4 linked regions of the Saccharomyces cerevisiae S288C genome follow. The protein of the gene in region 4 binds, or shares a complex with, the protein of the main gene of each other region. Each region holds a gene or a part of one and is shown on either strand. Other genes may lie near its edges. The genes, in order: IES1, ARP4, IES5 and IES3.

The links.
Region 1: IES3 (region 4) and IES1 share a complex: the UniProt entries of both Saccharomyces cerevisiae proteins name them as parts of the chromatin-remodeling INO80 complex.
Region 2: IES3 (region 4) and ARP4 share a complex: the UniProt entries of both Saccharomyces cerevisiae proteins name them as parts of the chromatin-remodeling INO80 complex.
Region 3: IES3 (region 4) and IES5 share a complex: the UniProt entries of both Saccharomyces cerevisiae proteins name them as parts of the chromatin-remodeling INO80 complex.

What each region holds. Positions count from the first base shown.
Region 1 is NC_001138.5:105,622-113,866, forward strand, and holds IES1 (Ies1p), read right to left. Parts: upstream 4,310-8,245; coding exon 2,231-4,309; downstream 1-2,230. Other genes in the region: MDJ1 (Mdj1p), read right to left, coding at 1-615; YFL015C (uncharacterized protein), read right to left, coding at 848-1,342; lipid-binding protein HSP12, read left to right, coding at 1,635-1,964; YFL012W (uncharacterized protein), read left to right, coding at 5,026-5,472; hexose transporter HXT10, read left to right, coding at 6,724-8,245. UniProt on the Saccharomyces cerevisiae protein: Probably involved in transcription regulation via its interaction with the INO80 complex, a chromatin-remodeling complex.
Region 2 is NC_001142.9:280,738-288,666, forward strand, and holds ARP4 (Arp4p), read right to left. Parts: upstream 4,535-7,929; coding exon 3,065-4,534; downstream 1-3,064. Other genes in the region: IML2 (Iml2p), read left to right, coding at 448-2,643; SCP160 (Scp160p), read right to left, coding at 4,821-7,929. UniProt on the Saccharomyces cerevisiae protein: Chromatin interaction component of the NuA4 histone acetyltransferase complex which is involved in transcriptional activation of selected genes principally by acetylation of nucleosomal histone H4 and H2A. The NuA4 complex is also involved in DNA repair.
Region 3 is NC_001137.3:338,205-345,018, forward strand, and holds IES5 (Ies5p), read left to right. Parts: upstream 1-4,650; coding exon 4,651-5,028; downstream 5,029-6,814. Other genes in the region: anthranilate synthase TRP2, read left to right, coding at 1-1,268; MET6 (5-methyltetrahydropteroyltriglutamate-homocysteine S-methyltransferase), read right to left, coding at 1,660-3,963; TORC2 complex subunit TSC11, read right to left, coding at 5,116-6,814.
Region 4 is NC_001144.5:243,816-251,001, reverse strand, and holds IES3 (Ies3p), read right to left. Parts: upstream 3,802-7,186; coding exon 3,049-3,801; downstream 1-3,048. Other genes in the region: OSW2 (Osw2p), read left to right, coding at 24-54, 142-2,285; NRS1 (Nrs1p), read left to right, coding at 2,576-2,902; FCF2 (Fcf2p), read left to right, coding at 4,025-4,678; EMA19 (Ema19p), read left to right, coding at 4,930-5,415; MLO50 (Mlo50p), read left to right, coding at 5,830-7,116. UniProt on the Saccharomyces cerevisiae protein: Probably involved in transcription regulation via its interaction with the INO80 complex, a chromatin-remodeling complex.

The sequences.
Region 1 (8,245 bases), on a different chromosome or scaffold from region 4:
GACAATCTCGATTGGGTCGCCCCTATATTGTCTGAACATAGATGACGACCTGCTTGCGCCACCGCTACCGCGGCCACCACCACCAAATGCAGCACCAAACAGGTCTTCAAAATTGATACCGCCAAATGGCGAGCCGCCTGCACTGGTGAATCCTGAGAAATCATGAAATTGGGAACCAAAGGGAGAGCCACTACCACCACCGGCACCTCCAGCGGCACCGCCGCCGCCGAAGGCAGCGGGCCCAAATTGATCGTACTGCTGCCTCTTCGTTTCGTCTGACAGAATTTCATAAGCGTTCTGTAAATCGTGGAATTTCTTCTCAGCATCCGGTTCCTTGTTGATATCCGGGTGGTACTTCTTTGCCAGTTTGTAGTATGCTTTTTTGATTTCCGCACCTGTAGCAGATTTCTTCAAGCCTAAAGTATCGTACGGGTCCTTGAATGCTTCGTTGTTTCTGATTGCAGAAGTATGGAAGCTAGATTTTGGTATTCGTGGAGCGATGGATGCAAACGCGATGGCATGTCTATAAAGAATATTATTGATATGGCGAGAATGTCCCACATGGTGTCTAAAGACACCGGAACACCTTGACAATACACCTTGTTGGAAAGCCATTGTTATGTTATGTTTAGAGTATGATATAGGACTTCTCTCTCTTTTTTTTTTTTTGTCCAGGTGGAGTGCGATTTGTTCGTTATATGCCTCATTCCTTAATTTTTATCAGTCAGAACGTTATTTCGCGCTGCAAGTTCCTTACTTTTCCATAGAGTTCCACAGGATGTAAAGAAAAATAATGATAAAAAAAAGCAGAACATATTACCCTTCTTTTGGAGCGTACTTCCATCTGTTACCCGCTCATCCAAATGCACATTCTGTTACCCTCTTGTTCGGTATTTTTCGGAGTTCTCCTTTTCTCCTTCTTTTCCTCTTGATACACAGAAAAGTGGGAGAAGGTAGGGGGAGTCAGAGAATGAAGAAAAAAAGGGGACGCGCAAATCCAAGTGAAAATCTCCGGGAGCGGGCGGATCCCACTAACGGCCCAGCCGAAAATGGAAAAAAAGGGTCGGTGATGTGTGGGTGCCAGCTGGCGGTAGCAATGACGACGTGTTGACGGGCCCTTGGCTCTTGGGACAAGGACTAGAAGCCAAAAGCCAGAGGCGGTAAAAATAGCAAGACTAGAATATTGCTGGCATCTGTTAAGGGGATATGTTGCAACTTGCAGGGGGCGGCACAAAATAACATAGAAACGTAGTAAAGAGGGGAAAAGGAAAAGGAAAAGGAAAAGGAAGGAAAAAAACCCATTGACGTAGAAATTGAAAGAAGGAAAGGTATACGCAAGCATTAATACAACCCACAAACACAGACCAGAAGCACTCTAGACGGAGAGTAACTAGATCTACAGCCCCTGGAAAATCGTTTGGTCAACTTTGAGGTTCCGGTCGTCCCCCTCTTGATCTGAAAGGTCTTTCTCTAAATCTATATTAAAACGTATAAATAGGACGGTGAATTGCGTTCTACTTCCTCAATTGCGTTTGATCTTATTTAATCTCTCTCTAATATATAGAAAAAAAAACCATCTGATTATTCGATAATCTCAAACAAACAACTCAAAACAAAAAAAACTAAATACAACAATGTCTGACGCAGGTAGAAAAGGATTCGGTGAAAAAGCTTCTGAAGCTTTGAAGCCAGACTCTCAAAAGTCATACGCTGAACAAGGTAAGGAATACATCACTGACAAGGCCGACAAGGTCGCTGGTAAGGTTCAACCAGAAGACAACAAGGGTGTCTTCCAAGGTGTCCACGACTCTGCCGAAAAAGGCAAGGATAACGCTGAAGGTCAAGGTGAATCTTTGGCAGACCAAGCTAGAGATTACATGGGAGCCGCCAAGTCCAAGTTGAACGATGCCGTCGAATATGTTTCCGGTCGTGTCCACGGTGAAGAAGACCCAACCAAGAAGTAAATCTTTCGGAACTCTTTGTAGTTACATGGTTTTTTCTTTATGATGTGTGATGTTCCTTAATATTATATTCAATGAATAGCAGAGTAATAAAAAAATTCTAAAAAAAAAACGCTTAAATCGAGGTGGAATATATAAACTTAAGTACGCATATACTCTAGTTCAGTTTAAAAATTAGCTGTTTTTTTAAAAAAAAAAATTCTCTTTCTTTACAAAATGTTCTTAAATGTATGTATGTGTGTGTGTGTGTGTGTGCGTATTGTTCTATTTCACTCCAGCTTAAACATGGCGGTTGCTTCTTCGTCATCAATTTCCGCGCGTTCGATTTTATTTAAAAGTACTTTCTTTGAAGCGCCGAGATTTTTCATGAAATCCGTCTCAAATCCAAGCAAATTATCTTTGAATTTCTTTCTCTTTTTACCGCGAATCCCAAGCACTGACGCTACGGGGATGTCTTCAAATTCATTGAATATCTTGATTAACCCAATATCGCGTCTTTTCAACCTGTTTGGCACCTGGGATTTTTTCAAATCGGCGAGAAACTCCTCTTGTGTCTTACCATTTTCTGACACATGCTTGTTCAGATCTAGCGATATTAGCTTGTCGACCTTGTTTACCGTAGCCGAACTATTGTATTTTTTCAATGGTGTTAGATTTAAATCGTTTTTGTCAATGATAGCAGCGGAGGTGATTTCTTCTTCTGTTTCTGTTGGTGCTGCTGGCGTTACTTTGGGCAGTTGTGGTGTGACTTTTTTCCTGTTCAATGTCATGGGTGAAGAAGATTCCAGTATGGGCGTAGGCGTCAAAAGTGATCTAGTCTCCTCTACAGTCTCCTCGCTCTTGTCATCTTCCCCTTCACCGTCCTCTTCACTCTTGTCACCACCGATACTGGGCTTTTTCACCTCTGTAACATTGGTACGCTCGCGCTTCCTACCCTCCTCCATCTTACTCATGAATTCTCTTCTCTTGATGCGTTGGTTGGCTCCGAACTCTAATTCATCTTCAGGATCCGTGTCGTAACTGCGTTCCGTACACCTTAAAATGAACTTTCCAGCAGGTGCACCATCTTCCAATCCATTGAAAAATCTTACTGATTCTTCGACCTCCTCCTGGCTTAAGTTTGTCTCCAAATGAATATATAGCAGCCAAATCAATATGTTTGATCTATCCTTTGGCTCGTATTTCGAATAGTCCAGTATATCAAATAATGTTGTTGCATAAGCTGCTTTTGATTCTTGTTTTTCATTTTCCGCTTCCGTTTCTTTTACTTCATTCTGTTCATCTACCATATCTTGCTCCTGAGCTTTCGATTCGACTTCCACATACTTGGAAAGAAACCTCTTGTCAATTAGGCCGGAATTATCACATATGCTAAACAACATATTAATAATGTTAAATTTGTTAACGGTGTCCACTTCACCATCATTTTGGTCGACCTTTTTGTAAGTCTCCATCAATGAGAGTTGCTCATTGCCCCACGGCAGATTTTTCAGAATAGATTTCAGTCTAGGTGTATCCTGCAAAAGTTTCGGATCATTGGCATGTAATTGTAAAACTGGCACGGAGTGAAAAGTTCTCAATTGCGATGTCATTTCTAAATAAAAATTTATAGTGGTGTTCAACCTACCAATGTTGACCAATAACGCTAAAACACAAGTAGAAAATGCTACTTGTTGGTCTAATAATAGTTTATCTCTGAGAATTTTGGAACATTTGATAGAAGTGGCTATTGTCAACACATACAATTGTGCGAACGTCAATTTATCGTTAAATACAAATGTCCTTGCATCGTACTCTTTGTCGGTCACGTTGATTGATAATTTATCGCCATCGATATTAATGGGTACAATAGAGTTCTTGTATAGGGGTTTTAGAACATTAGTGAAGATTTGCCTCTTGTCCATCAACAGTTCTTGCATGAAACTGAACTGAATGTCCTTTCTATTGAATGGCTCGCCGTCAGGTTTCTTCAAATGACGATTGTATTTACTGGCATTGCTTTCTTTGGGTTTCCTTCTAACAGTGTTAGTTGTCACTGGCCCCGTTGCCGTACTTGCTCCTGTTGCTTCAGGCACTGTAGAAGGTTCGAAGTTGAGCAAGATGTTGGTATTTTCTTCTTCACTTTGCGTGGAGTCATCATCATTTTTATCGTCGATTTCAATCTCGTGTATAACTGGAATGCTTTTTGTAGTCACAGTCTCGGTCTCTGATTGAATGGAGCTTGGGGATGCTTCTTCTTGTGATCCCGATTTTACAGATTGCATTGGAGAATCTGCTTTTGTTTCGTCAGAATTGTCTTCTCGTAGTTGGAAAGTATCATGAATTGGATCGTATACTCTCTTCCCCATCTTTAATTAGAGTGTCGCCTTTATTTAGCTTTCGATTTTACTTAGTTAATCATGAACTGTTTCCAATACCATATCAGCATTCATTGGGCGTTCTTTACTTACTTGTACCGTTACCGCATTCGAGGGTAACCTGTTTTTCGTTGTACACGATATGCTACAGAATTGTCTTAATATGGGCTAAGAAAAAAAAAAGTCTGATTATTTCTGATACTGCAAAATATATACTGGCTTGGTTAAGAAAAGTGTTGCTTTAGTTCCTTTACATCAAGAGTCGTTAAATTGTTTTGTGTCATAACAGTAGTGGTCTTTTGAGACATCAATCGACTCTCAGGTTTTCCTTCTGTTCATCTTCTTGTTTTCGGTAAAGGTCAGCCAGCATATTTCAATTCTCTCTTTTTTGAAATAACATTATGTAATCTTTCAATCCTTTCTATCCAACGTCTGCTAAATAATTTATTCAAATGACATGTAGACCAGAAAATCGAACGTTGGATAATTTTTCATCCTGAATCATGTTGGTCTCAACTAGAGCAATTTTTTCACGTCCTCTGACACAAAACTCGATAAACTGTCGCATCAGTTTAAAAAAATATGTACGTGTATAATAACTGAATTTAAAAGGATAGTAAATAATTTTTGCATTTTATGGAATGTCAAAATACTAATAAGTCGCAAATATAGCTATCAAATACCATAATTTAGCTACTTATAGAAAGATGCCCAAATCCCGACCAAAAAGGACCATTGCGTCTTCCTCGTCAGTTTTTTATGGAAGTTCACCTTTCCAAAATGATGGCTACATCAAAGTAATGGAACTCGTATCACACATTGTCATTGAAATAAATCATTCACCTACCGCAACAACGGATGAAACGAGAAAGCAGAATAATCCGGAGCTGAAAGTGAAAGAACCAGTTTGTAACCTCAAGAAGTGGGAAAATAACACTAACTTTATATTGGAAGATCATACGAAGAATAAAACAAAACTTTCTAGCACAGATAGGATACGTAAGTGGTTTAGAAGACATATATTAAAGGAAGAGATCGAAATCCTTTCCCATGGAAAACAATTGAGTAGTATTGATGAGGATTATTGCCCTTCAAATGTTCTTGTAGGATGTTCAAGAGATCTAAATAAACTCAGATCATTTCAAAATTTTTAGGAATATAAAATTTCTCAGTAAGAAAAAGAAGATGAATGCGTTTATAGTATTTTAAGTTGTTCAATAGAATATCTTCAATATGTTCATATGTGGACTAAAAGAAGATTTTGGTATATGTCTATAAATTTATTGTTGGTAAACGCCATTAAGCAGCTTTCCAAGAATATGTTATCATTGAGGAGAAGTACGAAAACTGATTATGCACGATTAGGAAAAATTCTGCAAGGAGTATTAAAAAATGGCCTTCGAGAAGAAATGAAATCTCTTTCGATGAGCAATGGTCTTATGGATAATTTGATAGACATATGAAAAAGTCAAAAGTTTTTTTGGCCATATGCAGTAAAAACTTACCCTTCAAATTGCAAAACCATTAGTTTTATTATATTTTTTTTTTTTTCTTTCATTGAAGTATACACGAAATCCCATACGCAAATAAACAGTCGTTGTATCATCAATTTCGGCTGTCTGGATGGCGACTACGAGAGGAAGCTTGCTTGCCATGATAGGACCAATCTCAATTTTTAATTTTTCATTAACTAGCTAATTTTCTATAATGCTCTAAGTTTCCTTTTTCGTTTTGTTTCTTTATAGTGATGATGCTGTTATTGTGACGCTATCAAATCATATACTGTCATCAATCCTCATCTCATCGGCTCCGGAACGCGTTGAATATGTTGTTAAACAAGCTCTTTATAGCTAGCTATAGTAGAAAAGGAAGGAAAGAAGTCTAATCGCTGTATTATCGACTGACAAGGGTTGTCAGTTGCCTTCTTTTATTTTTTGTACTCCCCTGAATCGAGCGGATGTATTTTTTAACAAAGTATTCAGAATTGTTTTTGTATAATCAAAATTTGTCGACGCTAAGAAAATGACGGACGTCGTAATTCCGCTACTAGGTTTTGTGTGCTCATCGATATTTGACACCTATTTTCGACACTTTTAAGGTTATATACTTTGTTTCGGATGTGGGGTACACTCAGTTGACTGATTATGAAAGATATGGCGTAGCCGTTGGGTTAGGGTTATTACACAGAAATGAATTATACCAGTGAAATTATTCTCTTTATGTTTGTTCCTACATGTTTTCCAATCAGAAGGAATTGTTATATAAGGACACAAGAAATGTGTTGGTACGCTCTGCGCCTCAATGACGGTTTATCTATCTAAAACTATTTCTTTCTCGTAATAAAAATACAATAAATAATTAATAATAATATAGTTGATCGATATAACAAAAAAATAACAGCGAGGATGGTTAGTTCAAGTGTTTCCATTTTGGGGACTAGCGCCAAGGCATCCACTTCTCTAAGTAGAAAGGATGAAATTAAACTAACCCCTGAAACAAGGGAAGCTAGCTTGGACATTCCATACAAACCCATTATTGCATACTGGACGGTGATGGGTCTCTGTCTGATGATTGCCTTTGGTGGATTCATTTTTGGTTGGGATACAGGAACCATTTCAGGGTTTATTAACCAAACAGATTTCAAGAGAAGGTTTGGTGAGTTACAAAGGGACGGCAGTTTTCAACTATCAGATGTCAGGACAGGGCTAATTGTCGGTATCTTCAACATAGGTTGTGCTTTAGGTGGCCTAACGCTGGGACGCCTGGGCGATATTTATGGGCGTAAAATCGGCTTAATGTGTGTTATACTGGTGTATGTTGTTGGTATCGTGATCCAGATTGCTTCCTCTGACAAATGGTATCAATATTTTATTGGTAGAATTGTTTCTGGAATGGGTGTTGGAGGTGTTGCTGTGCTGTCGCCAACTTTGATCTCAGAAATTTCCCCAAAGCACCTAAGAGGCACTTGTGTCTCTTTTTACCAGCTAATGATTACCCTTGGAATTTTCTTGGGCTACTGTACCAATTATGGTACAAAGAAATATTCAAATTCAATACAGTGGCGGGTTCCCTTGGGTTTGTGTTTTGCGTGGGCAATCTTTATGGTGATTGGAATGGTTATGGTTCCGGAATCGCCCAGATATTTAGTAGAAAAAGGTAAGTATGAAGAAGCTAGAAGGTCTTTGGCCAAATCAAACAAGGTCACAGTTACTGATCCAGGCGTTGTTTTTGAGTTTGATACTATAGTTGCAAATATGGAATTAGAAAGGGCTGTTGGAAATGCCAGTTGGCACGAACTCTTCTCAAATAAAGGAGCAATTCTACCAAGGGTAATAATGGGAATCGTTATCCAGTCACTGCAACAGCTTACTGGCTGTAATTATTTTTTCTACTACGGCACGACCATTTTCAATGCTGTTGGAATGCAAGACTCTTTCGAGACTTCCATTGTCCTTGGGGCTGTTAATTTTGCTTCTACATTTGTTGCACTATACATTGTGGATAAATTTGGGCGTCGAAAATGTTTATTGTGGGGGTCTGCCTCGATGGCAATTTGTTTCGTCATATTCGCCACCGTTGGCGTCACTAGATTATGGCCACAAGGGAAAGACCAACCTTCTTCGCAAAGTGCTGGTAATGTTATGATCGTTTTTACTTGTTTCTTCATTTTCTCTTTTGCCATTACTTGGGCTCCTATCGCCTATGTCATTGTGGCAGAAACTTATCCATTAAGAGTTAAAAATCGTGCCATGGCCATTGCGGTTGGTGCGAACTGGATGTGGGGTTTCTTGATTGGATTTTTCACACCCTTTATCACTAGATCCATAGGATTTTCTTATGGCTATGTTTTCATGGGTTGCTTAATCTTTTCGTACTTCTACGTTTTCTTCTTTGTTTGCGAAACAAAGGGATTAACTCTGGAGGAAG
Region 2 (7,929 bases), on a different chromosome or scaffold from region 4:
GAAAGGACGAATGAAAGAAATGAAAATATTATCTTTTTTTTTTTTTTTCTCAATTTTCCTTCACTTTTAGAAGTTTTTCCGTTCCGCGGATTTTGTTCGTCGGACCTTTTGCTTTATTTGTCTCCAGATCTCTCGAGCATAATGGTCGTTTTTCATTTCATGCTTATAGTCTTTGTCTTTCCAGCGGTACCCCCACCCCCTATCTTGGGCTATTTTCTAATTTCGTCCCTCGGATTATTTAATTCATATTCTCCCCACCTTTGTATTACTAAATTTATTTTCCAATGCTCTTTTCACTCATTCTTCCTTTTGCATATTTCTATCAGTATATATAGCGAATTGTATATATAAGCGTCTTGTTACCGGTATAGGAATTACCTGATAGAAAGAAATAGAACATAATAGGAGGAAGGGCAAACAGTGCGCCAAAACGAAAGATAGTAGAAGATGTTTAGAGTATTTGGTTCATTTGGATCAAAGGGTAATCAATCTTCTGGTGAAGAGCAATCAACAAAGACAAAACAGGTTCTGAAGCAGGCTAATGACTTTGAGATCGCCTTAAAGGCAATGGATTTTGTCCTTGATGATAGAACGGATGAAGGGTTGAATTTGCTGAAAAAAGCTGAAATGGAAACTGGTTCAGATCAAACTATCTTGACTTTGGCAAGAGGTGTTATTGAATTTCTTCAAGCCACTTTGAGTTTTGAAACTGAAGAAATGAAAAGAGCTGCAATTACTTTAGGCAAAGCTGAGCAAATGTCCTGGAAAAGTAAGCAAAATGCTGAAAAGACCAATTTTAGGAGCAGTTCAATATATCCTCCCGGTACTGTCTATGCTGTAACATATACTGAGTCATGTCTGTTGCATGCCTTGTTGATGTTATTTAGTGAAAGCATGATGGAAGCAGCCAAGGCTTTGCTAAAGTTAAGGAGGGCTTATACAATGTTACAAGATATCATGGTTACTGTCAAAAAAGCTGAACGATCGAAAAATTCGAGCTCTCCCTCTCCAAGCGAAAAGAGCCAAGAGTCATGCGGAAGTTTTGTTTCTGCAGAGACAACTTTCATATCGGTTGATATACCATACAAATTGTCTTCCGAGGACAAGTCCAATCCACTCCTATTGGAATTTGCTGAAAAAATCTACACGATGAGAATGGGAAGGTTATCAGGTGCCCATATTGGCAATACTCCATCTTTTCATAGGTTAAGGGATGATTTGGGTTTACAGACGACTCCGTCTCAAGCTTCCGACCGCCATTCTGTTTCAGATGATTTCGATTTAGAACAGGCTACCATCGACGAATTCATCCATTCAGGTGCTAATTTATGCTATGGTATCTTGCAAGTCGTCTTATCCTTACTTCCACCTGCAATCGGTGCTGTGCTATCTATTGTTGGATTCAAGGGATCCCGTGAAGAAGGTTTGAGGCTAGTTTGGAAGGCTACAAAGGAGAGAAATGTTCACGGGTGTATAGGTTTGTTAGGTCTGATGTTTTATTACGACGGTCCTTTCCAATTTACAGATGCTGACTTTGATATACCACCAAACGATAATGGATCGAGGGCTTTAAACAAAAGCAGAACAAACGATAGTAGCCTTTTACCAGGTTATATGGACAGTGCAACCTTATTGCATCCTGGAAAAATTCTGGAGGACGCATTACTAAAAGCAAGAGCACTTTTTCCTAATAGTGCCCTGTGGCTGCTAAATGAGGCCAAAATGCTTGCTGGAAAGGGCAGGCTTCGTGATTCTCTGGCCCTAATGGACTCTATTGATGTCAATAGTATCCGTATGAGACAAGTGAAATCGTTGATGGTGTTTGAACGTGCGATCCTTTTAGTCAACTTACACGAATACAACAGAGCTGCCGATGATTTAATAAGTTTGCTTGATATTAGTGATTGGTCTCACGCATTGTACACTTATTTTGCGGGTTGCTGTTACTTGGAAAATTGGAGGATGACACAATTAGGCTTATTAAATGACGGTAAAGAACAATTCTATAAAGAGCGGGCTCGAGAACTCATATTTGACGCTCCATCTTTGTTAGGTAAGAAAACGTTCAAATCCAAAAATCTTCCATTGGATAGATTCATGCTTAGAAAAGTTCAACAATTTAATAATATGCAGAAGAAATTAAACCTACAAGAACCACTAGACTCAATAGCAACATCACCTGTCCATGAACTGGCTTATTTCTACAACGGTTACAACAGGATGACTGAAAACGATTTAATTTTGACCAAAAAGATGTTGACAGAGTATCACAACCCCGCCATTGATTCGGAAGACCCAGATCAAGAGCTGATCAGAAACTTACTACTATCCTTGACCTTAAGAAGATTGGGGGATGCTGAAAGAGGTTTAGCCTTGTTAGATGACATTGTTCTGCCAAAAATATTCTACATTCAAAATGGCAAAGTCAAATATTTCAAAAAAACCGAAGACCCATGGGCATATCCAGCCGCTCTTTATGAGAGAGCTTTATTCTGTTGGAAACTGGGTGGCATGGAAAGTTTGAATGAATGTAGGGAATGGCTGCTAAGAGCCCAAAATTATGCCGCCGATTACGAATTGAGTACGCGTATCGGTATGAAGATCAAAGCCGCCCTTGATAGAGTTGAAAACGCGCTTGCTTAACCTTTTGCTTCTTCCGCCCCAACATTTTAGAAGTATGCATTTTTTTTTTTCTTTCGACTACTTACCTTCCCTTGCTAGCAGTTATTACAACCATCATTTTTTCGTGACGTTTCATAGTTTTTTTATATTTTTACGCAATGGGTTTCCCGAGTAGTTAGTTCTACGGTGTCGATATATATAGTGTTATGATTTTAAAAATGAACATATTTAAATTTTTGAACCTCCTTCTTAGTTATAGGCCAAGTTCATTACTCCCTAGGAAACAAAACCGGTCCATCGTAGAAATTTTTTTTATTTTACAAAAGGGTTATAGTAGAATCAAGACAATTTATTTATCACTGAGATATTGATCGAGTAGATGAATGGTCGCTCAAACTGCTAAACTGAAAGGCGACTTGTCATTCAACAACGTTTTCTATTCCTATCTAAACCTATCGTTAAGCAATCTTTCGACGCCCACCTCTTCGTATTCCTTTTTCCCAACCCACAGTTGGTGAAATGTTCCCAGACTTGTAAGTATACTACCGCCAAGCCATGACTGGTATTGCCTTTCGATAGTGTGCCCTGTTGTTAATATTCTAAATTTAAGGGATGGTAGTATTTTGTTTAGTTCTGTCATTAACCTATCACTTAATCCAGGAATAGAGGATGTACCGCCTGTAAGGACAACATTATGAGCTAGTGTCGCTCTTAGATCCACATCACTGCTCATTATAGACGAATAAACAAGATCCGCTAGACCAATCAATTCATTATTTTCTTTAGGAGGCTTTTCTTCTTCTAACGGTCTCTTACCGGTTTCATTTGGAGTGTCTGCACTATTTGCAGCCGGAGAAGTAGATTTGCTTACAGCTTCCTGTTCCTTTTCTTCAGTTGGTGTAACTTTCTTGTCTGATTTGTTCACTCCGCTTGGCTTGGTTCTTTTTAGCGGCACGTAATCATTCCGCCAAGTTTTCACAACTCCAGAGTTCGAGCGAGGCCAATTTGCTGGGATGTCATCTTCTTTTGGAAGGAAAAGCTCTTCAGCAAAGCCGTAACGAGTTTCGTTGTCAAAAACAATCTCCTCATTCCAAGGACTTTCAATAGATCTTTTAGCCGTAGAACTTAATTCTGTTTTCGTTTCTTCCAAAGTTTTTGTTGGGCATATATGACAAAGTGTTTCTTTGCACTCTTGAAAGAACCCTCGGTTATTGGCGTAATCATACAGCGATTTATCAACCTCATAGTCGAATGTTTTTTTTATAAACTCTGGTTTTCTTTGCTTGATTGCGAAAAGTGGTATGATTTCTTTGGGTTCCAATGCCTTTTTAATCAAGTGATTGATAAATTTCCCAGCAATAAAATTTCTTCTTGTACTCTTTGATAATGTCATACCATCCACTATTGGACTGACGCTGCAAGTATCATGTCCAATATCAACAACCAAACAATTGGGTCTACCTGCTGCAAAAGAAACGCATGTCGATGTGGGTGCTAAGTAACAGGCTTCAAATTGCATGCCTTCTAAGAGCACTTCTAAAGATTTTTTCCTGTTTTCTGTGCTATTCCAAACGGGCTCAGTTAACAGAGCTGGTATTCCGGAGTTGGAATTCAAATAGAGTTCGTTCTGCAATGCCCATTGCCACTGTTCTTGTGCGGTATCCCAGTCTATGACTAGACCGTTCTCGATAATAGGTTTCAGTTCATAATCTTTTCTTGGAATTCCAATTGATTGTTCAGAAAATATTTTCTTATTGCCTTCATCTGCAGTGTATTTACCGTAAACAGAGGGCAGAATTGATTGAGGGAAGTCAGAACCCGAATAGCCAATATTTGTTGTGTATGAGCCAGGATCAATGACTACTGCGGAAACTTCGTCGCCGCCATAAACTTGCAAAGCAGCATTGGACATAGTTATGCTTTTCACCGCCTTATAACGAAGACTCTTTTTTTGCCTAAAATCCTTGGTTTTCTGTACATCTTGTTTTCTTTTTTTTCTTCTCGCTGTTTCGTCGTCTTCTCCATTTCTTATGTTCGTGTTACTTCAACTTCAAAATAGCTTTAAATGGGAACTTTTCAAAGAAAAACTAATGTAATCTAACTATTTTAAAAACGTACACATCGTAGATATTAATGGATTATATAAGTAAGTAAAAGCCAAAATCTATATTGAAAAAAATTGGTTTCAAAGAGCTTGTCTATCTTCTTAAGGATTTCAAAACCATTTCACCGGCCTTTTCGACACCAGCTTTGGTACCTCTAATGTACACAACATCATTGACTTTGTCAGACTTCCTTGGGACGTTGATGATAACGTCGGCCGCTTCTCTAATCTTTTTGATGTTAGAACCACCTGGGCCAACAATCATATTGAATCTTCTGGTATCAGCACCCCAGACGTAACCGGCATATGTAGCAGATGGTGCCTTGGCAATTCTTTCTTTAATCAACTTAACAGCAGTATCGAGAGCTTCTTCCTTCTTAGCGGAATCGTTTGAAGTGTCCTTTGTGACTTCCTTTTCTTCACCGTCAGAGAGAATGCTACTCAAATCAATTGGTTCATATGTCAACCTCATGGTAATATCACCTTCCTCGGAAGAAGTTGGTGCACCGACTTCTTCGATGGTAAATTTAGTCTTTTCTGCATTTTCGCCTTCGGTAGATCCACAGACTTTCTCTAGAGGAATTTCGATTGGAGCACGAGCTAATTTGTTAGCCTTCTTTGAGGTGTTACCAAATCTTACATTGACGGATAAATCCATTCTCAACTTTTGTATGAAAGCACCACGTTCTGAAACATATTCATAAATGGAGGCAGGAACATCGACTTCTCGGTCAAAATTTTCCCTGATTATTTCATTCAAGATTTTCTTCTCAGCTTTCTCGACATTTTCTGGTGCACCGGTAATAGTTATTTTGCCGCTAGGGTCATCCTTATTAGGAACGAATAAGTTAATGTTAAATTCGGATTCTAGTTGACGACGAACAATCCCACCAGGGCCAATCAAAGCACCCTTTCTTTCTGCTGGAATATCAATGGTCTTAGTAACACTATTTTCAGCATCCTTGACAATCTTGTTAATTTCCTCGACAACCTTTTTGACAAACTTTTGAGGACCTTGTACGGTAATGTCTTTATTTTCGGAGTCTGCGTTAGGAATATCAACAGACTTATTTCTAATTTCTTCACCACCAGCCTTGGAGATAATTTCTCTTAAAATATGACCACCGCTACCAACAATTGACTTATGGTATTTGTGATCAATTTTCAAGACTTCAGTGACAAAATCGGAGGCTTCGGCAACAATGGATTCCACACGTTTGGCGGCATCTTTTATGTTTTGTCTAGAACCAGTGATCTCCAGTTCAACCTCACCAGTTTCCTGAGCCTTTGGATCGGTGCTCTTTTGTAAGAAATCCATCTCAACACCGTATTCAGCTCTGATGTCGTTGATATTGTCACCATTCTTACCGATAATTCTTGGGACGTGCTCAGCTGGAACATTAATAACCATCTTATGTCCGTTCTCCATTTCAAAATCTAACAGAGCTTTCAATTCTTCATGAGCTTTATTGACACCACGAGAAGGGCCTCTAATGGTGACAATTTCATTGTCTCTTGGGAAGTTAATGAAGACATTGTATTTTTCCTGCAAACGGTTACGATAAGTACCGTGTGGACCAATCAGACTACCATGAAACTTAACTGGAACAATTAGTTCCTTTGTGATGATATCAGCCCATTTTTTGGCTTCGGCAGCCAAATATTTCTTGGCATGAGTCAAGTTGTATTCTAAACCAGTCAAAGTAACTTCGACAGTCTTATCTTTCGAAGCATTATTGTTCTCTTCGTTTGGAATATCAATTTGGCAGGCAAACTTCTCACGAATTTGTTGTAGGTTGGAGCCCTTGTTACCAATTAATCTGGCAACTGAGTTGGCTGGAATATTAACAGTCATTTTGCTTTTGCTCGATGGAGAATTCAAAATAGATTCAAAAATTTTGTTAGCAGCTTTGGCAGCTTTTTCATCACCTCTAACAGTTAACTGATTTTCTTCAGGGGTATGTAGTTTAATTTGAAGGTGGCCTTCTTGTTCAGAAATGTCCTCCATAATCAATTTCCATGTAGCGGAAGATGGTTTAAACAATGAGTCTTGAACCTCCTCGGAAAATTCGTAAGTTTTAGTCTCCATGTTGTTTTGTTTAGTACGTAGAGAGTTTAATGACTCATTGGCCTTGTTCAAAGATGCTTGAATCTCTTCAATAGATGGCTTGAAATCTTCATCTTCAGTTAAAGCAACAAGTAAAATACTGTTATCATTTGGATAATAATCACCGAATTGAACAAAGGCAACGCTGCTTTCGGAAGCTAATAAACAATGTTTAATAGACCCGCCGAACAACTCGTAATCCAAATCTGTGATAACCAGGGTTTCGGAAGGTGGAATATTGTTCACAAAAGAAATCAATTCTTTACGAACGGCCTTGATATCGTTTGCCTCATCAGATTTTGCGCTGATGTGGATGGTAACAGTTTCAGCTGTTGGCAATGACTGTATGGATGGTAAAGATATTTTAACATTAGGATGAGATTCTTCAAGACCCTTTAAAACGGAGTACTTGGTGAAATACATGATTAGATTTTTGGCATGGGTCAGATTCTTACTATGAGCCTTGGAAATATCTAAAGATTCAACCACATAGCTCTTTGAAGACGATCTGGCATAGGTGATAGCTTCACCAACCTTATCGCGCAAACCGACAAATGACACAAGCTCATCATCAGGAGTTGATGGGAAAGTGACAATGACATTGTATTTTTCTTTTAGTTCTTCTGCATCAATCAAAAACTGGAACTTGGATGGAATCTTGACCTTTTCTTCGTCCAAATTAGAAGCTAATTTTTTCAAATAATCTTGAATAGATGTCTTCGTGGCTTTTGCTTTTTCACGAGGACCCAATATGACAATATCACCCGATTTTTTATAGAATTGGACTTTGACCTCTTCATCACCCTCATCGGAGGCAAACTCGGAAACATCAATGTATGGTAGGTATTTTTCATCTTCAACGACTAATTTGATTGTGGCATTCTTGGTTTCTTCCTTAACAATGGCCAAGATTTTAGCCTTAGCCAAGTTGACCGATTCAAAATCACCAAATAAAGAAACGTTACTTGTAGTATCATCCATGTCTTCATCATATGAGTTTTCATTGACTTCCTTTGAGACATTGATTTTAACTTCGTAGGCATCACTAATTTCACGAATAGTTCTACCACCTGAACCGATAATACTGGCTTTACAT
Region 3 (6,814 bases), on a different chromosome or scaffold from region 4:
TCAAAACCGGTCCTACTGAAGGCATTGAAACAGATCCTTTGGAAATTTTGGAAAAGGAGATGTCTACCTTTAAAGTAGCCGAAAATGTTCCTGGTTTACCGAAATTAAGTGGTGGTGCTATTGGTTATATTTCTTATGACTGTGTTCGTTATTTCGAGCCAAAAACAAGAAGGCCTTTGAAAGATGTCCTAAGACTTCCAGAGGCATATTTAATGCTTTGTGATACCATTATTGCCTTTGATAATGTTTTTCAGAGATTTCAAATCATTCATAACATTAATACCAATGAAACTTCGTTGGAGGAAGGTTACCAAGCTGCAGCACAAATAATCACTGATATCGTATCAAAGCTAACCGACGATTCCTCGCCAATACCATATCCAGAACAACCTCCTATTAAATTGAATCAAACTTTTGAATCGAATGTGGGCAAGGAAGGTTACGAAAATCACGTCTCCACTTTGAAGAAGCATATTAAGAAAGGTGATATTATTCAAGGTGTGCCATCGCAAAGAGTGGCAAGGCCAACTTCGTTACATCCTTTCAATATTTACAGACATTTACGTACAGTGAACCCATCTCCTTACCTGTTTTATATTGATTGTTTGGATTTCCAAATCATTGGTGCATCTCCAGAATTGTTGTGCAAATCGGATTCCAAAAATAGAGTCATTACCCATCCAATTGCTGGTACTGTCAAACGTGGGGCTACTACTGAAGAGGATGATGCTTTAGCGGACCAATTACGTGGCTCGTTAAAAGACCGTGCAGAACATGTTATGCTGGTAGATTTAGCAAGAAACGATATTAACAGAATTTGTGACCCATTAACAACAAGTGTCGATAAACTGTTAACTATTCAAAAATTTTCTCATGTCCAACATCTGGTTTCTCAAGTCAGCGGTGTTCTCCGCCCAGAAAAGACAAGATTTGATGCATTCAGATCGATTTTCCCTGCAGGTACTGTCAGTGGTGCTCCAAAGGTTAGAGCCATGGAATTGATTGCCGAACTAGAAGGAGAAAGGCGTGGGGTTTATGCAGGCGCCGTAGGTCATTGGTCATACGACGGTAAAACAATGGACAATTGTATCGCTTTAAGGACTATGGTCTATAAAGATGGCATTGCTTACTTGCAAGCTGGCGGTGGTATTGTTTACGATTCAGATGAGTACGATGAATATGTCGAAACCATGAATAAAATGATGGCCAATCACAGTACTATTGTGCAAGCAGAAGAATTGTGGGCCGATATCGTAGGATCAGCTTAAAAAGGGCATTCTCTGTTTTTTTCCCCTTAGACGACATTTTTATAGTTTTCGAATAATATGATATAATGATGTATAGCAGGATCCTGAAAAGTATTATTCTTTCGACATATACATTTGGTCCGACTTACAACCAAAAAATTTTTGTTCAAAAAATATAGGAAATTTTAGAAAACGAATGTTGAATGCGTTATAAATAATACAGAATGTACGTGTATATAAAAATATAATAAAAAAAATGCAAGAGTTATGGCTTTGTAATAAAATTGATATCAAAAAATTACCCAAATAAACTTTTAAATGTGAACACAAAAATTAAATCACCGATGTTGAATCCCAGAATAAAAAACAAAAAGTTCAGAAAATATCATTACTTTGCTTCCTTTTTAAAACCTTAATTCTTGTATTGTTCACGGAAGTACTTGGCGGCTTCGACCATATGAGTCAAAGACAATCTAGTTTCTTCCCAGCCTCTAGTCTTCAAACCACAATCTGGGTTAACCCAGAACTTTTCAGCTGGGTAGCTCTTCAAGATGGTTGAAATCTTGGCGATAAATTCATCCTTTGATGGAATTCTTGGAGAATGAATATCGAATAAACCTAGACCAATGTGGTTTGGATAGTTTTTGAATTCAGCAATGTAGTTAGCATCGTCCTTCTTAGAGAATTCGATGGAAACAACATCAGCATCCAAAGCCTTGATATGGTTTGGATCCAAGTCAGAGTAACAGAAATGAGAGTGTATTTGAGTCTTGTTAGCAACACCAGAAGTAGCAACTCTGAAAGCTTCGGCAGCCCAGGTGTAGTAAGCAGATCTCTCAGTACCTTCTCTCAATGGTAAACCTTCTCTTAAAGCTGGTTCATCAACTTGGATAACCTTGATACCGGCAGCTTCCAAATCATTGACTTCATCTCTCAAAGCCAAAGCTAATTGCATAGCTTGAGTTTTTTGGTCGACATCGTCTCTTGGGAAAGACCATCTCAAACAGGTAATTGGACCAGTCAACATACCCTTTACTGGCTTAGAAGTGATGGATTGAGCGTAAACAGATTCCTTGACGGACATAGCCTTTGGTCTGGACAAGTCACCAACAATAATTGGTGGTCTGACATATCTGGAACCGTAAGATTGAACCCAACCGTTAACAGTGAAAGCATAACCGTTGATTTGTTCACCGAAGTATTGAACCATATCGTTTCTTTCTGGTTCACCGTGGACTAAGACATCCAAACCAATTTCTTCTTGGAATCTGATGACCTTTTCAATTTCAGAATTGATGAATTTTTCATATTCTTCAGCAGAGATGGTGCCCTTGTTGAATTTGTTTCTGTTAATTCTGATGTCCTTGGTTTGAGGGAAGGAACCAATAGTTGTTGTTGGGAACAATGGCAAGTTGAAGACTTTTTGTTGTTCAGGCAATCTTTGTTCAAATGGAGCTGCTCTAGTAGACATTTTTTCGTCGATAGAGGCAACTCTGGCCTTAACGGCAGCATCGTGGATAAACTTGGATTTACCTCTGGATTCAACAGATTTAGCGTTAGCTTCTAGGGCAGCAGCAACGTCTTGACCGGAAACGTTCTTGGTGATCACAACAACTTCATCCAATTTTTGAGTGGCGAAAGAGAAAAAGCCCTTGATTTCAGCGTCCAACTTGGTTTCGTTGTTCAAATCAACTGGTGTGTGCAATAGAGAAGAAGAAGTGGCAACAACGACTCTGTCAGCACCCAACTTTTCAATAGCCTTGTTAACGATAGCGGAAGACTTCTTGAAATCATTCTTCCAAATGTTTCTACCATCAACAATACCAACGGACAAGGTTTGTTTGTTACCAATGGCGGCAACGACTTCATCAAATTGTTCTGGAGCTCTAACAAAGTCAACGTGTAAGGCAGCAACTGGCAAGCCCTTGATGGCGTCTAAGTTAGGGACAACGGTACCGAAGTAAGTAGCCAAAGTAATCTTTGGTAGATTGCTTTGTTCACCGAAGTAAGTGTAAGCCTTCTTAATGGCGGCTTGGGCGTTGGCAGGCAAGTCCAAAACTAAGACAGGTTCGTCAATTTGAACTTCAGTGGCACCAGCAGAAGCCAATTTAGATAGGATTTCAGTGTATAGAGGCAACAATTGTTCCAATAGGGACAATGGTTCCAAATCTAGAGAATCCTTGTCAGCCTTACCCAAGAATAAGTAAGAAACTGGACCCAACAAGACAGGTCTAGTATGAATACCTAACTCCTTGGCTTCCAAAAATTCGTCAACTGGCTTTTGGCCGTTCAACTTAAATTGAGTGGTCTTGGAGAAAGTTGGTCTAACGTAATGGTAGTTAGAGTCGAACCATTTAACCATTTCCAAAGCAGTGACGTCGACAGCCTTTTCAGTTTCAGTGGCCTTTCTTTGTAAACCTCTACCCATAGCAAACAAAGTGTCGATTGGAGATAGATCGTACTTAGTGTAACGGTCTGGAATGACATTGAACAACAAAGACAAATCCAAAACTTGGTCGTAAAAGGAGAAGTCATTGGATGGGATGATATCAACACCAGCCTCCTTTTGCAACTTCCAGTTTTGAGTTCTCAAATCCTTACCGACCTTGAATAATTCATCGACAGTGATTTTACCGTTCCAGTAACCTTCAGTGGCCTTCTTTAATTCTCTGTTTGGACCGATTCTTGGGAACCCTAAGACAGCAGATTGAACCATTTTTGATATGTACTTTGAAATTATATTGGTATTTTGTTTCTTAGAGTGTTGTCAATGCTCTTAGATGCTTGCTTTTTTATGATAAAGGAAGAGTTTAACAAAAATATTGAATACGTAAAAGAGAAACTAATGCTAGTAAAGATGGAAATATCTATCACTTATATAGAATTTTTTTTTCTTTCCTTTTTTTCTTTCGCAGTTGGGAAAACTAGCTAGCTTCCCTTAAATTAGTGCATCTATCGCATTTGTTCCATATTCACATTCACAGTTCTCAATTGAGCAGAACGAGCTATGACTACCACAGTTTTGCGACCGGGAGATAGAGCGAAAGAGCTGCCATGACTGCGATGACTCTAGCGAAAAATATTGGCCTTTTGCACGTTCGCGACTAAACGAGTTCGATAGTAGTCCCGTTTCTGGTTTTTTCCCTTTACCGGCCCACATTTTTTCACCTGACTCCGGTCCTGACGTACGACTCTGTTTGTAAGTCACGTGAAATATTTCCTGTGGCTTTTACTAGTAATGTGCACGTGATGTGGCGTGATGGTCCTTTACCCGGAGTGCGGGACCCTGGTTCATGAAAAATTGTGTGAAATCAACTGCATTTTTGGAAGCGAAAAAGATGATGAACCTGAGTTGAATGGCTGTGGGAAACCAATACTTGACTGATTATAAAACAAGAAAAAAATGCCTAGTAAAGATCCAGAGAGCGTTATAGACAAAGAAATACGGAAGATATCAGCAAGAAATGATGAGCTTATCAAACAGGATGGGACTCTAAAAAGGGAATACACTACATTATTGAGAAAAGTATCGAGCGTGATAACGGTACTGAACAGTATTGATGATGCAGATACTGGTTCTGCTGAAACGGAACTCCCACGCTTAATATCTCAAGCAACAGTAGAGAAAGTACCCGAATTGAAGTGGTACAATGATCAGATATCACTGATTACAGAAAAGTTGGAGGACGATGAAGATATTGAGGTTCCCGAGGAGCTAATGGATGCTTATACTCTGTACAAGGAAACCCCATTATTATATAATGATACGCACACACCATAACGGTTTTGTATGCTGTGGTGTAGGGAAGTGCCTGGGTCTATGGAATATTGTGACTATATACATTTATACATGCGGCCCTTTTTTGCTCTAACGTGTAAAATTAGCCGGCCTTTTGTCCCTTTTGTTGTCGTGCCTGATGACATTTTCAAGCGCTCTATTGTTAATAAATAGTCCGCAAAGAAACTTCCTAACATGTGGCTTAAACCGATACTTCGACATCATATTAAATACTTTGAAGAACATTTTCTCGTTTTCAAAAAGCCTTGGACCGTATTTATTGTTTATTTCTGTAATCTCCTTCACTGCGTGATTTGAAAGGATATGATTGCCTAGCTGACTTACTATATGTAGTACCTTGCTCTCGATGGAGTCATCGTCATTGCGGTATTGTGTAACATAGGGAGAAGAAAGGCCTTCGTTTGCGAAAAGACTACTATTTTCACCTGAAACAGTGATAGTTTGACTTGTGATATCGTTGTCGTATTTATTAGTAATGATTTTTTCATTTAATGGATTCTCTGCGGTATCTTTCTCTTTGAGTAGTTTGTCCAAATCAAATTCGATGGGTAAGCATTTTTCTATCAAGTCGCCATCGCTTTTATTAAAAACAATCATCTCATCAGAATACTCGCCAAATGCGGACCATTTGTGTTCGTTATACGATAGAAATCTATCGAGCCTATTTGGTAGTGCGATCCCGATAGGCTCATCTTGTACACTGACACAACAGTTCCATCCCATCTCGTCTAGAATTTCGCAACCCTCGCGGGTCATGCTGATTAATCCCAGAACATAAAATGCTGTAAACCTAACGCTGGTTACGCTGGCATTGTAGGCCACCTCGATAATATCTTCCACCAATGAGTAGTTATCTAGTAGACCTATCCCCAATTCTGTGGATCCGATAAACCCAACACACCATAATGCTGCTTTTAAGTCGAGAATTTCTTTGGCATTTTCTACTGTGGCCATATTGTTTCCGTTGACGTATTTTTTTATAACGTTCATGAAAGTAACCAAATCTCCTGTTTGGCTTAATAGTAATATTCCGTCTTCTGTTTTCGTTAGACTTTCATAAAAATGCAATGGCAGGCGACTCTTTTGTTGAAATGTGAGGGATTTTGCATTAATTGATTCATTTTTCTTCAGGAATTCCTCCACAATATGAACATACTCAATGTTTTTTTTAGATAACCACGAATCCCTTTCCTCCTTCACAAAATTGATTTCGTTCAACAACTGGAACCCGTATGGGCGGCTTAATAACTCGAAAAGTATTGGAGACCTAATGAATACCATTTGGTTTAAAAACATCCTAAATGAGGTGCCCAGCTCTTCAGAGCCATTGCCCGCGACAATACATTCATATAAAGCTTGGTCTGCTACGGCGACTACGCTGGGGCTCAGGTCGTATAGTTGCCTTGTTAACATTTCCATTTTGAATTGCTGCAGTTTCACTTTATTCGCTTTTAACTTAAGATCACTTTCTTTCGTGGATAACAGTTCTTTTAGTTTATCGCCTATATGCTTTGTAGCCTCAATCCTAACTTTCTCATTGGCCACTACAAGGGCCTTGCCGATAATGACGCGGCAATGTGATGAATATTTCAAATCTAATTCTGGTATTGTTAATAATAGAAACTCAAGCCCCAGTTTCGATTCAAATTGAAACATCTTATAGATTACGGTAAAAAAATTCCACCTCGTTAGGATATGAACCCCATTCTTTGACTGCGTCAATATTCCGATGAATTTGAAGTATCCAAATATTATTTTTTCTCGTAGT
Region 4 (7,186 bases):
GAAGGCAAGAACTCGCATTAGTTATGGAAGAAAACCAATTAACGTGCTTAATAGGTATGGCAAAGAAGTTTAAGAAAACAGACATTCGAACAAAAATTTACTAACATATAAATGTAAATTTAAATTTCCTTTTTTTTACAGTTGGAGAAACACCAGCAGCACAATTTCTAGGATGGAGACTAAGTTTGAGCAACTCTTTTATAATACTGGTCTCGCAATATGTGTCTAGTGACGAGTTAGTTGCCTGGAAATCGACAAAACTAGGCGCCAATTTCTACACGCCAAACATTCTCACTAAGGATATTAAAGAGCTGCACCACAAATTAAAACATAACGGTGCAAATACGTATTCAATTGACATTGTGTTAGTGTCTGCAATTTCCTTACAGTCTTTCGAAACAACTTGTCGATTGTTGTCAGATTACACGAACGACAATACGACTGTGCTTATTAGCACTGATTTTGGTTGCGAACTGGAGCCCATAGCCATAAGTTATTTTGGAGGGAAGTGCAAGTGTGTTATTTCCATTTCGTGTGAGGTTGAATGCAGACAGTTATCGCTTGGATCATATGCATTGGTCAACGACGATCAATGTGTAATAACTTTGGGATTAACTTATTGTGATGCTAATTTTGAAGCAAGTCCAACCATTCTGGAAAACACGAAAGCAGCTTCGTTAGAATTGCAAGGGATTAAGGGTTCAAATGTTCGCAGGTTCCTTCTTGGATTGACCGTTGCGAAATGGATGAAATCTAAATTAATTTTGGACCCAAAACAAATGGCATTGAAAATGTGGGAATTGCTTATTCCTAAAATCTCACTTAACATCCTTTCTATCATCTATGAACAATTTGATTATGAGAAAATGTTAGAAAACAAATCCACAGAAATTATTTTTAAAGATCTGGTGAAAGAGTTACTTGGAATTTGCTTTGCACAATGTGGAAGCAAAATTGCAAGGTTTTTGCTAGTAAAATCACAAGGTGAAGAAGAGATTAATTTTGGGAAAATCGTAGAATATTGCAAAGGTAAAAAACTGCAACTTATCAACTCTACGGCAAACGAACATCCGGAATATTTATCCTTACCGTTTGAGCCTTATTGTTTCTACCACCGATTTGAATATCCTGCTCAAATTCTTTTGCATCAGCCCATCATTTTGGCCAAAAAGTATGGTGTTTCGTGTTCAAATTTAAATTTCCTATATGGATTCTATACGAGGTTACTGACACTAAGTGGGCTATCAATAAATGGTGGAAGGTGTGAGCATGCCTTGTCGATGTTGGACAGCAGGATTGGTGGTGGTATTAACGTTGCTTCAGGAATTAATAGCGGCCAAGATTTTACCGATGGTGATAACGAGGATCAAGATAAAGGCAAAAACAGAGTGGACAAAAATGTAAAGGAAGGTTCTTTCATTAGTTTAACACAACGATTCACGATGACAAGTCCACTGGGTGTCAATGATCCAGCTTTACCAGCGGACTTAGAAAAGTTGTATTTAGGTGCAGAATACATTAGCAATTGCGACGCAAATACATCTGGTGGTCAAAAACGAGTAAAATCTCCAACTAAAGCAGATACAGGCTACGATGATAAACACTTGCCTGATGATACGATACATACATTTGAAGATGAATATTTGGCCGATGAAGACGACTTTTCTTGCCTTGGAATTGACAAAAGAAGCTCAACAAAGCCCACAAAGCCTCTAGAAAAATTTGGAGTGGTTGCTGTGCCACACTTCATCAGGAGGTTTTCTATTAAAAGGTCGAGTAAGGATAAATCAAATGATATGAAAAGACCATATACTACAAGCAGCTTGGAGTTGCAATTAAGGTCAAATCACTTTATGTTCGCCAAAGAATACCAAGACTTACATAGACAATTATATTACGAAGTTAAACCAAGGACGCAATCAGAATTGGACGCAAGACGTCGAAACTATTCTGAATTAGAATCTCAGATGTGGAAAATTAAACATCGGTTCAATATTCATAGAGGAGCACTGCCTCGTCCACGAACGAATCCGTATGAGCTATTACTGGACCACATTGATGTTTTGAACCGTGGCAACACTGGGGATATTTTGAGATTTACCACTAGTAGATACGGTGGTGTAGATACGTATGATTCCATCTTGAGGGACCAATCCACGATCATGGAACTTTTAGATAAACGGTGTGCCTATTCACCTCCAGTACTGTTCGATAATGAGGCTAAAGAACGTGATCATGATCGCGATTGTTATCAAGATTACAATCACGACCACCGGAGTCATTAATATTAAAAAAAAAAAATGTGATTGTTAATAAGGGGTGGGATGCGCGAAATTCTATGCCTACAGTAGAAAGCGGTTGTTGCACAAATGATTAAATCTTTATCTCCAACTCACAATACTATCGCGATAGATGCATAATATGTGCAGCTTCTAAACAGCACGGAGTGATGATAAATACGCATATATGTATATATATATGTATGTGCATATGCACGTCCTTTTAAAACTCAAAATACAACATTCTTAGTAAATCCTTTTGTTGACACACGTCGGAACAACTCAGGACGGAGTTAATGGATATGCTTCATAATAAATGTAGTGATGCTATCAAAAGCACCTCCAATAGCAATTTGAGTAATGAGGTAGACAAACAAAAATTGCAATACGATGACCTCGGGAACACCGGATTTTCTGAACTATTTGAGATGGAATCTCAAGATAATAATGATAGCATAGAGGATTTCTTGTTCTTTAATATAAATTTAACCCAGGAGGTTGAGTTCGAGAACCAAAGACAATATGAGCACACGAAAAAGACAAAGAAGCATAACCCATTCTATGTACCGTCAGAGGTAGTGCGAGAGATGGTCAAGAAACACGCATTGAATGGCAGAATATAGTTAAGCCCGATAACACATTCTATTTTTCATGTTTTAATAACGTTTCATATATGAATTTTTCTCAAATATACGATATATACCTAAATGAATATGCATATGGAAGTGAAGTTGGGGATTTTGCAAACTTGTCTTATGTTAATCTTGGCTTAAAGAATGTTTTCCAAAAGGCCGTTCTTATTAATTTTTCTTCTCTTGGTTCTGTTAAATGCTAGTGAATTCGCATTGACGTTCGTTGGTATGGCTACTGCTCCGAATGCGATTGGATGGCTTGCCTTCCTGCCACGATTACTGAACAAATCGAGTTCTACATTTGCATCCAACAGTAGTTCTTTCAATATAAACCACTTTCTTTCTTTCTGTGAAAGTTTTTGGTACTCTTCAAGCAAGTTCTCTTGGATTTTGGTCAGTATATCAATTTTTTCATCATCTGATAAGTCAGGGTCCTCAGTTTCTTGGTCCTGCTCCGCTGCATTTAATGTTACAATTTGGTCATTGACAGCTTGTAAAAAGTTGTCATTCATAGCGTAAAGATTGTCCTTGTACAACCTTGTCTTGAGGGTGCTTATATCTATCTCATCTTGGTTAGCGTTCGTTATTACATTCCCTGGAGAATTCTTTATCATTTCATAGTTCATTTTCGATATGTCATCCACGGCAACAATGTGTCTTTTGAATGTCGTGGTGTTTGTGTGAGTGGAAGCAGTTGAGGCGGCATTTGCATCGGTAGCTGTAGATGGGGTCGAAGAACCTTGTTGATTCAAGCCATCTGCGTTATGAAATTTTTTGTGATGTGGGTCTTTCTCCAAGAAATCTGGAGTTTTGACACTTTTGTAATGTTGAGTAGCTGCATGAGCAAACTGCACCTGTTTATTGGTTGCCAAGAGGTCTTCGAACTTCATTGTTATGATTCCATTGAAGACAGCTATGTCAGTTAACAACGCAATTCCCCCTTTCACACGAAAACCTTTTCTCTAAACATCCTTCTCTTTTATCATAATTCGTGGTTAGTGCCGGCCTAAAAATTTTTCAGCATATTAAAACAGAAGATAGAAAAGAAATAGAAAATGCGATGAGACGTCAAGTTTTCCAATTAAAGAGGACGTGAGAAAGGAGCTGTTAAACATGGATCAAAGTGTGGAAGACTTATTTGGAGCACTAAGAGATGCTAGTGCCAGTCTAGAAGTAAAAAATTCAGCGAAGGAACAAGTTTCTCTTCAACAAGAGGATGTTTTGCAGATAGGCAATAATGATGATGAAGTAGAAATTGAAAGTAAATTTCAAGAGATCGAAACTAATCTTAAGAAGCTTCCTAAGTTAGAAACCGGATTTGATGCTTTAGCAAACAAGAAGAAGAAGAAGAACGTCTTGCCTAGTGTGGAGACAGAAGATAAAAGAAAACCCAACAAGAGCGACAAAAACGATAATGACTGGTTTACCTTACCAAAGCCAGATGATAACATGCGTCGTGAAGTTCAACGAGATTTATTGCTGATTAAACATAGAGCTGCTCTTGATCCAAAGAGACATTATAAGAAGCAACGTTGGGAGGTGCCAGAGAGGTTTGCTATTGGTACCATAATTGAAGACAAGAGTGAGTTTTATAGTAGTCGTATGAACAGGAAGGAAAGAAAGTCGACTATTTTGGAAACACTCATGGGTGATGAAGCTTCTAATAAGTATTTCAAGCGTAAATACAACGAAATTCAGGAGAAATCTACGAGCGGTAGGAAGGCACATTACAAGAAAATGAAAGAGATGAGAAAGAAGCGGAGGTGAGATAATGGAATTTTCTTCGCCACGTATTCCATATAGTATATTGTAAAGTGGTTTAGATTACATAGAAATATTCAAAAGAATTAATAATTTGCATATCGTTTAAAAAAAAAAAACCTTTGAAAACATAGTAAAGAATTATCGGCTTTTGTACAGGATACGAATTAGTAGGTATAAAAGGAACAACCGCAGCAAATAAGTACGAGAAACGAGCCACTCACGTGAAAACATATAGAGAAAAGCGACCGGAGATAATGAAGCTAGGACATCGTGAGCAACAATTCTACTTGTGGTACTTCATCGTTCACATTCCCATCACCATATTCATCGACTCATCAGTGGTTATTCCCGCTAAATGGCAACTAGGGATTGCGCAAAAGGTTGTTAGTGATCACATCGCAAAGCAACACGATTTCCTGCTATCAGAGAAACCAGAATGGCTATACTGGTTTGTAGTCCTTGAGCTAGTTCTGCAACTACCCCTTTTCGTCTATTTCGTCAATAAATTCTGGAATTCAAGCGAATTACAAGTTAATACAAATAGCAGATTGAAAAAGTGGTTGCGTATCTATGGCTGGAATGCCTCTCTAACTACCTTGATATGTATCGTTGTTATTTTCAAGCGTGGTTACATTCCTTACGATGTGCTAAAAACAAGCTTGTCCATGACCCAGAAGTGTCAGTTAGCCTCGGTGTACCTACCTACATTCCTAATTCCTTTGCGTTTGTGTTTTGTGTAGCCTGTGTCGGCTATATATACAGTATTAGTGACTATATAGTTAATTAGTGACATATGCCACTAGTTTTATCTAATTATTGTGCTGCGTTTTGCAGTATTCTTTTTTATTTGAAACGCGTCACAAAAGTTTCGCGTCCTTAGGGAAATGGCTGGTTTTTGTTTTAAAATAGTATATTATCCTTGATGTAATTTAGCAAGAGTGTATTGTAAGGGAACAGTCTGTTACTGCCATTCCCTCATCGCTAGATCCCCCTTCCCTCGCTTATTCCGTTACTTTCGCTTTACTGAGCCATAACCAAGCGCACGCATACATATATATATATATATATATTGTGCTGCACGTATATATAAATAAATCACGCGTACAAGGATACGTTAGCCAAATTCTTTGGATATAACAAAACAGCTACAACTCATGGTTAATAATATCATGCACGAGTACGTACCACCCAGTCAGCGGCTATTCCATAGCAGGCATAGAATAACAAGAAACGATTTGAAAGAAGAGGCCCTACATTCCGGGACCACAGATTGGACAACAATTCTGGACACAACAATAGATAAAGATACTAATCTCATTAGTTATGCTGTCCCCATAATAGACAACTTTGCCATTCCTCGAGCAAACTCTCAGGGGAGTCCTGTGGCCCCTTCGCCGAATCACAGATCAACGATGTACTCTTCTTCATCTTCTTCTGCGTCTTCTGTGTTTTCTGATGGTTTGTTTACTCCAAACAACAACAGGAACTCATCAGGATCATCTTCATTAGTCATTAGACCACAAAAAAATTTGAGTGTAGATTCTTTGATTCAGGAAAATAAAAGGAAAATCAATAGTGAAAAAGAATCGTTATCATTAATTGCCAATAATAACGATGAAACCTTGTGCACTCATACTGATCCATCCATACAAAACCTCATTAAATCGGAAACAAAGAGGAACATCTTAAATTTAAAGTTTCAAAATAGAAACTTATTTCGAAGAGAACTAAAATTGGAAAAGTTTTGGAGCAATTTGAGAAGTTGTCATACATCTGGCGATGAGACGGACCTGCTGTTGGTGATAAGTAAGCATAACTTATATTGGTTTGGGATACCGAACGATTTTCGTCTTCCAATATACAAGAGATGTTTATATCACTATAGCGAACTAGACGAAGCCGGATTTTTCAGTCAGTATGCGAACAACTCATTGTATCTAGCAATAAGGAAATGTTGTAACAACGAAGAGCAGGAAACTCTATCCCGGTCTATTTTCATCAATTTGACGAAAAACGTTACCTGGTTGAATAGTCGTTTCGATGACAATAAGGACAACAAGAATTCTTACACGGTTACTGAGGGGAAGTTCTATCAGGACTTTCCTAACTTATACTACCATTTAAAGGACAAGTTGAAATTAAATGTGATAATGGATTTCATCAAGCCTGTAATAAGAAATTTTATGACCAACGCATTGAATAAGCACAAATTAGATGGTATTGGTCTAGAACTTTTAGATATTCTAATAGTGACTACCTATTATGGTCCGAATAAAATCAATGCTTTCTTAATGGATACATTTATCTTAAACTTGCTAAAACAGTGCCATTACAAGTTTTTTGTCAGTAATATCTCTGAGCTGGTTATTCAAATTTCTAAAATCGATTGTGACTTAGTCATTCTGCTAGAAGATTTAAGGTCACGGATTGATTTAGATTGAGCAAGGGGTAAGAGAGAAGGCAGGTATTTCTCCTGGAAGAATATATATATATATATATGTATAACGAAAG